Linked DNA regions of Caenorhabditis elegans. The protein of the gene in region 1 interacts with the protein of each later gene in a pairwise test. Each region holds a gene or a part of one and is shown on either strand. Other genes may lie near its edges.

Region 1 (6,434 bases):
CTGTTTATGTTGAAAGTTTGGATGATGAAATTCGTGTAAGTCTGAAAATCTAAAATTTTGGAACAATCTAAAAATATGATCTACCAAAACCATGGAGTTTTAAATTTGTAGTTTTCAATCTATAGCATAACTTTATTACAGTTACTTCATACAAGTGCATCGTCAAAACTATCAAATCATCCACAACGACAGCATCTTCGGAAATTAAAATTCAATGTAGACGCAATGCAAGTGCAAGCAGTTCCGGGAAGTGGGAATTTCATAAAAAAATATGAAAGTTACTATTTTTTAAATTTCAGATCATCTAAACGAACGAGACGTTTCCGTTTCAACAACTTCAAAACTTTCATTCGCTGATCTGGAAAATTTGGCAAATGGTCCTAGAAATATTCCAAAGTTTTGAGAATGGATTTCAAACTGATTACAAGCTCTTTCCTGTATTGATCTCGACGTCTTCTTACTGGTTTAATATTCACGTCTTCACTCATTCATTCCTTCTCTTTTTGAATTATAAAAGTTTATTCAATGGTCTTAAATATGTTATTTATTCATTTTAATTTAATTATTTTACAGAAAAAGAAAAACAATATTTTACAAGATTTAAATTCAGGTATGTTTAGTGGAATCAATTACAAATACTTCTTTTGGAACAAATGGCTCTGGTGAACTAATTGATGTGTTATCAGTGTTGCTGGCAATCATAGCTCCCAAATTTCGAGTGGTAGCTATGGGAAATTCAAGCAGATCTTTTGATTCTTCTTCGATGAATGGTACCATCAAATGGAATACTGAAAACCAAGCAGTGTCGCATCTACTAGAATCCATCGAAATCTCTTCAAACTTTCTGAATACAGTCTCGAATGCGGAAAGTTTTCCATAGTTTAGCAACGTTGAAAGCATTTCCTGTAAGTTCGTAACACTCTCCTTGGTTGGCTCTGAAAAAATTGATAAAGTTATTCCATGAAACATCAGATTTTGGGTATCTCACCATTTTGAATAATACATTCCAATTCGGCCAGACGATTTTCAACTAATCCATCATCTTCCAAATCTTCCAATTCGAGGTTGTTGTCAGATCGTCCATTGAGAAGTGTGGATTTTACAATTTCAGGAATATCTATGTCATTTGCCACTCTAAAATTAATTTGACGAGGTATGCTTTGCACTTCCAGATCTTCAGTCACAGCTGGAATTATCACAGGTTCTTTATCTAGTTCATCTTCGTTTCGCGGAATAATATCTGAAAATACAGAATGTTTTCAATAAAATTTCACTACTTAAATACTAACTCAATTGTTCGTCAGTTCTCGCCATATTCCCAACTCTAGAGGTCTTCCCAAACATCTCTTGCACTGCCGTTGCCGCATCTTTTTTCAATTTACTTTTCAACTTTCCACAGGTAACTCCAACTCCACGAAGATCTTCTACTTTCGGAGAAACTTTAGCATATAATTTCATAGCTTCTGATGTGAGAGACTCTCCGCGTGTAGTTGGAACGTTTAGATTACACGTTTTGGTAAATGTATCACAAATTCCATGTCCCATGAATTTGGATGTTTGTATAGGAGCATTTGCTGAACGTACCATAAGCTTCAAAGTTATGGATCCTGCGGTTAATTTACTATCGATAAGTTTCCGTTCTAACTCAGCTCCAATAGCTGTCATGAGTTGAATAACTTCACCTCTCTGAAATATTCCATCGTTATACGGACATTTTAATATAATACATTACCTTCGTGAAACGAATACCATAATTGATATCACATGATACTGATTTTCGAACATGAGTAGCCCAAAAATCATCTGGATCTTCTTCAATACCACGACATTGTCGTAATATTTTTGAAGCCAACTTTGGTCCGAATACAGGTACAAGTTCCCGTTCAGTTTTTAATTGTAGTTCACGGCATTTTGTAATATCACCTGTAAAACTGAGAAGTTGATATTTTTATATTAGATACTGGAATTACCAAAGAATGAAGTTAATCTATTCATCATTTCGTATCCAAATCCTGGTAGATCTTTAACTTTTTCCTCGGAAATGAATTCATTTTTCTTATGTGCATTAACCCAAAAAACTCCATCTGGTTTAGCATGTCTTGTTGCAAGTCTTGCTAACAAGCTCGTAGATCCTATTCCAACACTGGCTGGGCATTGAGTCTTCTCTCGTATCACTTTACGGATGTGTTCAGCGAGAATTGTTGGGTCGTTGATTTCGTATTTTTCACAAAAACTGCTCATGTTTATATACATTTCATCGCAGGAGACTGCACGAACCTCCAATGTGTAGCTAGCCAGAATTTCATAAATTTTCCGACTAACTTGCACATAATCCTCAAATTGATATGGTAATAGAGTTAATTGTGGACACTTTTGTAGAGCATCTCTCACGAGCATACCATTTTTGACTCCACAATCACGAGCTGCATAACTGCAAGAAGCCACCTCGCTCATGCTATTCGAAATAGTTCCCTGAAAGATTTATAGTTTGACACGAAGCTTTTAAATTGATTTACCTTGCTATGAGTGATGGCAACTTCTTTGTGTTTCAAATCAATTCGATTTCTGACAGCAACTGAGACGAAGAAACAGTCTAGATCCACGTGGAATACTGTACTTTCCCGAGAAATTTCATTGCTAAGAGACTTCATATCGATGAGTTCTTTCTCTTCAAAACACTTTTCCGTTAGCTTTCCTTCCAGTTTCAAATTTGCCACAAAATCTTTCATATCCTGCGCGAGAGTAGAAATCAAATGAAGACGACTTCTGGCATAGTAATCTCGAATAAAGTTTGGATTCCGGGCATCAGAGAACTGATTCGATGAAGTTGTTTCATTGTTACCACCGGTGTTTCTAGTTGATATTGTTAGAAACTGTTGCATTTGTCCCTTTTCCACCGAACCTTTCTCGTATATCAAAAAATCTCGATAATCGAGTGGTTTTCCAGCAGCTATTCTGAAATACTGGTTTAATCGGAAGAATCGGGTTGATTATATTTACGATTCCGTAATCCAATCAGCTTTAATGAAAATTTCATTTTCTCGAATTCGATTTATTTTTGCTGTAGCAATTGAGGAAGCTATCGTGTATGAAGTAATTCCATGTTGATAATAACAGTGATATTCACCTCCGTGAGAAATCATCAAATCTCTGATAACAAGTGCTGGTGGATCTGAAATAAGTAACTGTAAAATCAGTCGTTAAGTTATGGAATATGAAATTACCTGTATAACCATTCACAAATACCGAGAATCCTTCCATTATTCTAGACACATTCTCTAGTGGTTTCGCATATCCATGATTCACCTGATGGTTAAGTTTAGTGATCTTCATCCGCATATAGTCATTCTGAAAAAAATGATTATTTCCTGTGGGTTATTATCAGTTAAGTGCTAAACTGTCCAAATGTCATAGTAAAACTTTTCAAAAAAGTTGTTTCTTTACAGTCAAGCGTGTTTTGAAAACTGAGAGGCCATACTGGAAGTCGGACAGAAAATTGTCTTTACGAGTTTATAATTTAATTTGGGTTTCGATAGTTTTTATTTAAATATTCTAGGATTTCGAATATACAGCGATGCTCGAAAAAAGTCCACATTTGGAATGAAACTTTTAATTTTACGTGAAAACGAAAAACTTTATTTATAGTAAATGATTTGGTGTTTTGGGCAAAAAACTCACAAAATTATTTATTTCGAAATTTTGTCCATGTATGGTGATGGTTTTCTGTTGATTCCAGTACTCGCCACTATCTGATGAAACAACACCAACTGGGCCATGTGCAGCGGATGTTGAAGGTTCACAATCATATGATTTTGGTTCTAGACGACGCTGTAATCTAGAATATTAACGATTGTTTTAATATTTCTACATACCTTTCTTGGTATAAGTTTGATATTATTTTGAATAGGAACTTCAACCGGTAGCATTGTTCCTTGCTTATCCATGCTATTTCCACCTTCTCTATCCGGATATTCAGCAGCTTCATGTTCTGAGTCAACTTCTTCAATTAAATCACCAAATATGTCTATACTGATATTTGCTGCCTGTTCAATGTCTACTTCTTTTCTTTTCTGATCTTCCGTTCTGAACGATTTTAAAAGATCAGCAAGTGCATCATTATCAGAATTATTTTCAGTTTCATCCTCTTCGTCACTGGATTCTAGCATTCGAGTTATTGTATCATCAGGATTTGCGCGTTTATTTTCATCTTCTAGTACAGTAGTATTCGGACAATTTTCGATCACTGTTACTTGGGAATATCCTGTTATTCCGTCGAATGAACCCTTAAAGAAAGCAGAAGTATTTTGAAAATAGCTATTTAATATTTTTGAAAACTAAATTTAACGATTTCATTGAAATTATTCGACATTCCATCGAACTTTTCGATATATTTGCAGCTAATACCTCATCTGAAACAATTATAGCATCACTTCGTCGTCGATTCACATTAGGAGTCGGAACAAACTTTTCAAAAGAATCATCTGAATCTGGATGATCGGTGAATGGGTCAGGAGAATGCATCATTCATTGTATTGATTTCTGGAATCAATATTTGTTTTCTGATTAATTGCGTCTTTAACCGTAATTCTGTCGACAAGTATAATTTCTCACAGTTCATACTAAAATTTTCTGAAAATAAGAATCGATAAAATGTATGTTTCATGTTAGAAAAAGTTTATTCATCCGAAAAAATTCGAAACAAAAAAATTGGAGATGAGGCGAAGGGACAATAGAAATCGAGAGGGGCAGAGAAAAATCTTGGCTGGTGCTAATAAAATAATTAAATTCCCAAAGCTCGCTGAGATCATTCACAGAGGGGAACAAAACAAACGGCGAAAAAGACCAAGTGGGTGCAATTGAAAGCAATACAAAAAGGTGAACAATACAGATATGTCAATTGTACTTTTTTCTCTAAATTGTACCGTTCCCCTTTTATCACTCGGAGTAAATATTATGCGCATGTTTTTTTCGATTGAGAAGTGGCAATAAATACCCAAAGAAAAAAGAAAACGAGGGTGCCAAAATATTCATCGATATGGATGCAAGAAAATAAAGAAAAATAATACTATAACAGATTAAAGCATTTGTCGTTTGGAAACCGCGCAAAATCTATTCTTTCAGTTTTGAATTTGTTAATTGGGTGCTAGAAATGGTGAAGTGTGTGAAAGTGTCAATTTTATAGTGATCATGTTAATTGCCTATATCTTGGAAATCTCAGTGAAAAAATCAACATAATAACTATAAAAGTGTTATACAGGGCATGGGAAGATCACCAGAAAGTGTGTAGTCGACCGTTAGAAAGAGAGAAAAGACAAAAATAATTTAAAAGAAAATATGACAACGAAACATTGGGAAAAAGGATAAGTTCACAATGCTCTGCATTCATCAGAAAGAAATTTACCCATTTTTACATTTTTGTAAGTTTTTAAGCTCCAAAAACTTGGAGCGAACTACTACTGCTATACAGCTGGCAATCGGCGTGTGTTATTTCCAACTGTTCCTCGATTTCCTCCTGATGTCCTCGTCGTTGGGGGTGCTTGTCTTGAGTACATCACAAGACCACTCGGCTCGTCATCTTCATCAGAATCATCGCCGCCAGATCGAGACGAGTTGGCATTCTTTGGCAAAGGAGGTGGCAGGGTCAATGTTGTCTTTCCACCAGTAGGAGAGATCTAAAAAAAATAAGATGTATACAAGAAAAATAACAAAATTTAGATTTTACCTCTCTCCTTGGGCCAAACCAAGATAATAAAACTGGAAGAAGAATGAGTCCGTTTATGATTCCAATGCAAATCAGAGCCGTCATGACAATAAAGAAATACTTGACAACAAATCTGAAAATAAAACATTCTGATGACATCCATACTTCTGTAAAACTCACTCAAACTCTGAGAATCCAAGCATCAAAATACCGAGAAGTGTGGAGAATGATCCATGAATGACTGGGACAAAAACTCGATCAACTGCAGATGACGTCCGTTGAGATCTTGTTCCGAGCGCCGTCAGGAATGATACAACCACATGAACAGTGAATTCGACTCCAATTCCAACTGCGGTGATCAAAGTTACGGCTGAAACCGGATTGAGCTTGATTCCAACGAGTCCCATGAATCCGGCAAGTTCGCAAGTCATGATTCCGAGAATACAAACAACCATAAGTGCAGCCCATGGATTGAAAAGAAGAACGGAAATGACGCAGAAGACAGAGATGGTAATGATCGAAATGGCTTGCATAAGATTTCCAGTCAAGAAAAGATATTGTTCCCAGAATGTGAATGCGATTCCTTGTGGGAAATTTGGAAGTCCTTGATCGGTAAATCGTTCACAAACACTTCTGATGTCCTTTATGGCATCGACAATCACAGCGGTATCCGTGAGGCCAGTTAAGTAGAATGGAATCTGCGAATATGCAAGTGGCTCAGCAGCTGGGATGA
Region 2 (7,178 bases), on another chromosome or scaffold:
TGACCTTTGTGTAATATTTCTTCATGTGGTGCACCCTAATTTCCCCTTGAAGACCGAATCGAGATCGCTTCGAGATTGAAACAGGAGGATCCATTCATTATTTTTTTCATTGAAAGAACTTCGTTCAGTAGTAAGCTCTCAGACAATTCAAAAAAGTCATTCTGAACTTTTCAAGTTCGCATATGTGATTATATATTAAGCTACAAGCAAGCTGTATTCCTTTCTGCTTATTATATGAAATGTATATTTGAGAAAAGTAGTTCTAGTTACCTATATATATATATATATATATGTATACACACATATATATATATATATCTCGGTATCACTTGTTGTCAATAAGATTGTTTATTCCAACTACTAATTTGCTCCCATAGGAAAACAAAAAAAATTGGATTCTTTGTGAAGTATACAGCCTAACACCGCTACATCTATTCGGCCGTTGTCACTAATATGAAATTGGTAATGTAATAGACGTGGTGGTGCGTGAAAGTTTACCTCTTTCTTCTCCGCTCTTACTCGTTCTCTAGCCATGTCGCTAACTATGGATAACAAATGCTCTCGTTGGAAATATATCACCGTAGTTACTACTACTACTACTACACTCGATGAATTATATTATTACGGCGCGGTCTTCTCTATTTGCTAAAGATCGATGATGAAGCAGTTTTTTTTTGGAGGAATGCGTGCTCAGCTGCTACGTTTCTGTTGTTTCGATTTGTAATACGCAACAATTTGTTGTAATCGATAAAATTGCACTACTATATATCAATTGTGATAATTTAATTCCAAAAGCTTCAAAGTTGTATATCATCATACAAACTTTGTTGCCACTTTCTAGAAATCTCTTGATTCGACAACTTCCAAAGATTTTAACATTTATTTCCCAAATGTACATTTACGTATGTATTTACTAAGTTGTTGAAAAATACAACAATGCCTCTCTGATAAGACTCAAAAACGTGCAGAAACGTTGATAAGCAGTGTAATTCTCCAATGTTTCTCAAATACTTTTTTTCACCATCTGTATGTTTATACTTTTAATTTCCCCTCTTCATGAAAATTTATCCAGAAAAAATTAAAATTTATCAAAAATTTTGTGCAAGGCATGAACATGACATTTCAAAAAAAAAATCAAATATACATACATCATTAAAAATTATTTAAAATTTATTTTGACTCGGAAAGGAAGTCATTTGTAATCTCCAAACCAAACATTTTTCAGTTCTCTCTGCTGGAAGCGACAAGACCATTTTCCTCGGAGAACTCGACCTGGAGGATTATTAAACTTTTTAAAATTTCAAACAATCAGATTCTGACGTCTTCATTTTTATTTTACATCCTATTTTTATCACCTTTATTGTTGTTACTTGTTTCTGTTTCTTTCATTTCCTTTCATAATAAGAATCTATTCTTCTTACGCTCATCGTTCTACACCCACATATCGTCTAGAATCTTACATTTCCGATCTATGAGCACAATATTCAGATAATCTTTTTTTTTCTTTTATTCCCTTTTTTCATTTACTGAAAACTTTTTTCAGTACTCATCGCATTAACTTACAACATTTCAGACATGACCAGTAGTGAAGATAATAATCCGTCGACGTCAGAGTCCCCAAAATGGCCGATTGGGTCATTTTTCGACAGGGTTAGATAACTTTATTATTTTTGTTGAATTTTATGTATCTTTTCAAATTGAACATAGTTTTTATTCAGCTTCAAAATATGTCAGATAATGAGACATGGAATATAGTTTATGGTGTCGATTCAACTTCGGAAACAGAGACAAAAGGATTTTCCTGGCGAGTTAAGGAAGAAATCAAACTTATTGGATTAAAGTGAGCAAAGAAATGGAAAGATTTTAAATTCATTTTTATTATTTCAGAATTACAAATAGTACAAAGAATAAGACATTCATAGCCAAGGGAATGGTAGATTATATATCAGATTTTCTTCACAAAGCGACACGTAGTCTATGCCAATTTGATCATCGATTTTTCCCATCTGAATGGGTATCTTACTATCTATTTTGCAAGTAATTTTTCTTAAATGAAAGTTGAAATTTTCCAGATATTACCAGAAAACTGCTGTGCTCAGCATTATTATTCGAGAGAACAACCCGAGGGAAAGCATACAATGATTGTGGTCATTCGATTGTATCAAATTCAGAGTTCGTAGATTTTTTCTCGTGTAGAATTTATCTAATTTAACATTTAAACTTCAGTTTGTTTAAAGCGAACCAAGGAATCGAAAATTGGAAGTGGCCTACCAAGAAAACTAGAGGAAGATTCTAATATTTCTGAATTCCACAATGCTCATAGATTCTATCGAAGTTTTTTGGAAGCTGCTGTTGAGTGAGTTACCTATTTATTACGGGACCACCGAGTTCGGAGATTGCGTACTGTACAACATATTAGACGAGCAAAATATTTCGTAGCGAAAACTATAGTAATTCTTTAAATGACTACTGTAGCGATGGAAACGAATTTATGTTCGAACTGTGGCAGCGGTATCAAATTATTTTTTTTTTCATTTTTGTGTTTTCTTTTAATATTTTATCAATTAAAACCAGCGCTACAGTAGTAATTTAAAGAGCTACTGTAGTTTTCGCTTCGAGATATTTTGCGCATAAAATATGTTGCACAATACGAATTCTCAGCATTTACCGTAATAGCACATCTTCGTTTAGTAATGAGATGTATGTTTGATAATTTGTAGTTTATGCCAAAAGGAAGTGTCGTCAGAAAACTTTATTATCAATAATAGCAAGCGACTAGATAATTGGGTGTCAGAAACGGATGTTTACTCGCTACACCATGTCTATGAACTTTCAATATTCAGATATCTATACGGCTATAATATCATGTGGGAAATTGATGGCGGAGGACGATTGGAAGACGAAATTAATTGGTATAATCAACATAATCCTTCTCGCACAGTTGGTCCCAATGATATGAATGGAGAAAATGAAATCCCAGCAGATAAATCTTCTAGAATGGGTAAAAGATCTTCGAAAATTCCAAAAATCAAAAAGTCTAAAAAGTCAAAGCATCACAAGAAGAAGAAAAGAAAGAGTAGGAGTGAAGATACTTCTGGCAACAGTTCACCTACCGTAATCGCAACAGATGGCTCTTCTCCCGAGTCAGAGGATCTTTCTGTGTTTCAACTGCTTAAAAAGATCGGAACAACTGTCAACTTTCAACAGATTAAGCAAGCTATGGAGGTTGTACAACAAGGAAGAAAGAGACTCTCTGAGAATGATCCAATTTCTGAAGATGACTCAAAACGATTACGCACTCAAAAATCTGCTTTTTGCATTAGATCAACGATTCCTTGTGATCCAAGACTTGAATCTAAAACATATCTCGAAATGTTAGAAAACGAGAGGATTAAAGAAGCAGCTAGAAAACGGTCGAAAAGCGTCGGTGAGTAATTTTATTTGTTTTTCAGAATTCACCTATTAAAGGTGGAGTAGAGCCAATCGGGATTTGGTTTAAATATAATAATGATTCAAAATGACGGAATATCATAATAAAACATTCCAAAAATTTTTAGATGTTTCATAATTTCCGGTCAAAGTTTTATCAAATTGCCTAACTATAAATTTTGAAAAGTATGAGGCTTTAAGGAAATCCAAAGTAATTTCGCATGTTCCGACCTCTACAATGTTTTAATACGATTTATTAAAACAAAATTACAGTATAAAAAATGTAGGAAAACAATTTATTTAGTCGACTTCCAAAATTATTATTGGCAAAAACTGAGTAATTGTCACCTTTTGACATTAAATAAAAAAATTTCAAAATTTTTTAAAAGTTTTATTTTGATATATTCGGCCATTTTGGCACTATAAAAGTAGGTTTTAACAATTTTCCCACTGGCGCTACTCCACTTTTGACAATATCTTGTAAATGTATCAATTTCAGATGATATTGAGCATGTGGCAGATACTGTTACTGATTCGTCAATTGAACTTGAAATCGAACGAATTCAAACATTTGAAGAAGAGCCTCGTCCAATCTCAATTTTCAACAATCCACGATTGAACTCTGGAGATGAAGATTCTACTAGAAATTCACCTTCCAGTGTTATTTCTCCACCAACTTCCGTTTTTACAATGTCCCCAATTCATGAAGCACACTCTCAGGTTACATACGACAGTATTGCTCCACTGGAAAGTCCTGCTATCGACTCTGATGACGATTTTGACTTTTTCCCATCTTTGGTCGAGACAAGCTCGCGACCAGCGTCTTCCGAATTGAAAGACACGGAAGAGTGCTTGGACAATTCTCAGAGCATGGAAAAATATGGATATATTGATTCTGAAAATAATTATCTTGAAATGGAACAAGAAGATACATCGAATTCAGAAGAAGATCAGCTCGAAATTGCTGATTCACCATCTTCTACAATCTCATCTGCACATGGAAGTTATGATACAGATCTTATCGATATAGAGGACAGCTCAGCTCATGAAACGATCCTACCAGATCAGGAAAAAGAAGAAGATGCTGAAATAATTTCAACCACTCAAAACTTTAGTCAAGTCCTTCATGTTGCTGAGACTACAACACCAGGTAAATTTATAGCTTCCATAATCCATAATGAGTGGCTAAAACTCAGTGCATTAAGATATATCAGCTAGTTTCAGAATTCTGCTAATTTTTTTATTTTAATTATTCCCTTTCTCAAATTGTACTAAACATCGATAATAATTAATAAGTATTCTTAATTAATATTTACGGTGAGCTTTGTTGTTAAATTTTGAAATTGATTCACTTGGGGGTGGACGGCAAATTACCGGTTTTCCGATTTGCCGGAAGTTTTGGTTTTCGGCAAATTGCCGGTTTTCCGATTTGCCGGAAGTTTTGGTTTTCGGCAAATTGCCGGTTTTCCGATTCGCCGAAAGTTTAAATATTCGGCAAATTGTCGGTTTTTCGATTTGACGGAAATTTTAATATGGGCAGATTGCCGATTTTCCGGAAAAAAATCGTTTGCCGCCCATCCCTGGTTCAACTGTTGAATTTGAATTTTATTTAAAAATTGATGTAATGTTTGTTTTGTTCAGATCACGTTGAAGAAGTTTCTTTGAAGGCTACAAACAATGTACCGGAACGAGCTCCATTCACTATGTACTCTACAAAGAATCAGTTAGAACATCTCTCAACTCCCGAATACCCAACTGCAAGACGGATTTCTCTTCAATTCAAGCCACTGAAGATTTCGAATCAAAAACCTGATATTTTCAAACAGTATCACTTGCCAACAATGAAAGAACTTGAGCATCTTCCGAAGCAGTTGCGGTATATGAGTAGATCAAATAAAACTGATAACAGATATTGGTTTGATGTCGGTACTGTGAAGAATGACTTTAAACGGAAACTTTTCGGAGACTATTACCGCGATTGGATGCGTTCCGGCCATTTTATGAGACATAAAGTGAATAGTGTATGTTCACAATTGGATGCAAATTGTCCTTACTTCATTCTAAAGGAAGAAACAAGAGATAGGTATAATAGCTTTGGTTTTGGAATTTTGAATTTTCTAAGATCTATTTTCAGCCCAGCACTGATGCTCCAAATTGAAGAACTTCGCGATAAGCCTATTCCACTGGAACTACTGAGCAAAATGGTTTGCATCAGAATGAATGCCAGATTTTTTATCGATTATTTCGACCAAGTTTCTTGTTTAACTCCAGCCTGCTGGGTAAGTTGAATTTTTGTTTTTTTTTAACTTGAAAAATATTACGGGAACACGAAATTCTGAGAATACGTATTGTGCAACACATCTGACGCGCAAATTATCTTGTAGCGGGAACTACAGTAATTCTTTAAATTACTACTGTAGCACTGGTCCCACTTTTGAGTTGTTTTTGTCACGATTTATTGACGATTTCTAAAGTATCGTCGAAATGACAACAACCAACGAAAAAATAAATATCGAAAATAAATTCGTTTCTAAAGTCCAGTTAGTAAATCGTTCCCGTAAATTGCCACCAGCGCTACAGTAGTCATTTAAAGAATTGCTGCGGTTTTCGCTACGATATACTTTGCGCGTCAGATCTATTGCACAATACGCATTCTCAGAATTAAGTGTTTCCGTAATATCTTGGAAATTAAAAATTAAATATGATTTTTTTTCAGGCCAACATAGATTTAAATAAACTTGGCGACTTCACAAGTTCTGATGACGAAGTTGCAGACATTGGAAAAAGCTTTCTTGCAACATTATCCGATCTTCCAGATATGCCAACTGAAGTGGTTATGACTATTAAGAAGAACTCCCACATTTTATACAAAAAAATTATGAGTGACTTAGTGAGAACCATGTTCATTTTGAAATTGGATAGTGATGGCAAACCACATTTCTTCTATGATGGTGCATTTGACATAAAGCCGAAGGTTAGACGATCTCCACCATCTCCATCAAATAGTGAGATCTCATTGTAATTTCTATATAATTTATTCATAACTTTATGCATTTTCTTCTGTTTTTTGTTGCAATTTCTTTCCCTTCCACCGGTTCGCTTCCCTGTTTCTATGATCCTCCCTTACCCTTGAATAATCTCCTTTCAATGTTTTTCTTGTTTTTGTTTTACTTGTGTTTTGATTTTTGAGCTCAAAGTTTTCAAATGTAAATATTTATATACTACATCATCTTTAGAACAACCCGGTCACAAAACAAATAGCACAATATTATGAAAATTTAAATTAAAATTAGCTGTGAGGTGCACAGATCGGTGAATGGGGTTAATGCGATATGGGAGGAGAAGTAGAATATTGCTGCAATTGCCAACGGGAACGGCAATGCTGGAAGTGCAGTTTGAGATAATGTGACAATTGGCAGAGTAATTGTCAAACCAACAAGATTGGATACGAAGCACGCGACGACAGTTGGAAGTGGGCACGTCTGAAATGCTTAGAATTTGAATTGCCAGAAATTTTCAATTTGGGTAATTTGCCGGAAATTATCATTTTCGGCGAATTGCGGGTTTGCCGAAAAATTTCAATTCCGGCAAAGTGTCGATTTGCTGATTTGGTGGAATTTTCATTTTTAGCAAATTGCCGATTTGCCGGAAAATTTCAATTCCGGCAAAGTGCCGATTTGCCGGAAATGTTTTAAAAAAGTTTAATGGATTTTCTGTAAAATTCAAAAATTATCTTTAATTGGGTAAAT

The links. Proteins that work in one complex are often made in the same cells at the same time.
Region 2: the proteins of rev-1 (region 1) and C18E3.3 interact in a two-hybrid assay, tested with the Caenorhabditis elegans proteins (2 studies listed by BioGRID).

The regions. Positions count from the first base shown.
Region 1 is NC_003280.10:7,898,734-7,905,167, reverse strand, and holds rev-1 (DNA repair protein REV1), read right to left. Parts: upstream 4,547-6,434; 5' UTR 4,522-4,546; coding exon 4,405-4,521; intron 4,284-4,404; coding exon 3,873-4,283; intron 3,829-3,872; coding exon 3,679-3,828; intron 3,349-3,678; coding exon 3,225-3,348; intron 3,173-3,224; coding exon 3,001-3,172; intron 2,956-3,000; coding exon 2,517-2,955; intron 2,473-2,516; coding exon 1,971-2,472; intron 1,924-1,970; coding exon 1,733-1,923; intron 1,687-1,732; coding exon 1,290-1,686; intron 1,241-1,289; coding exon 989-1,240; intron 936-988; coding exon 607-935; 3' UTR 501-606; downstream 1-500. Other genes in the region: best-23 (Bestrophin homolog), read left to right, coding at 1-35, 142-250, 300-403; ptc-1 (Protein patched homolog 1), read right to left, coding at 5,460-5,672, 5,723-5,834, 5,882-6,434.
Region 2 is NC_003279.8:4,201,885-4,209,062, forward strand, and holds C18E3.3 (ULP_PROTEASE domain-containing protein), read left to right. Parts: upstream 1-1,573; 5' UTR 1,574-1,575; coding exon 1,576-1,650; intron 1,651-1,718; coding exon 1,719-1,840; intron 1,841-1,887; coding exon 1,888-2,014; intron 2,015-2,072; coding exon 2,073-2,172; intron 2,173-2,226; coding exon 2,227-2,356; intron 2,357-2,843; coding exon 2,844-3,427; intron 3,428-3,928; coding exon 3,929-4,579; intron 4,580-5,070; coding exon 5,071-5,512; intron 5,513-5,563; coding exon 5,564-5,708; intron 5,709-6,145; coding exon 6,146-6,451; 3' UTR 6,452-6,678; downstream 6,679-7,178. Other genes in the region: snrp-40.2 (WD_REPEATS_REGION domain-containing protein), read left to right, coding at 1,226-1,287; Presenilin hop-1, read right to left, coding at 6,708-6,911.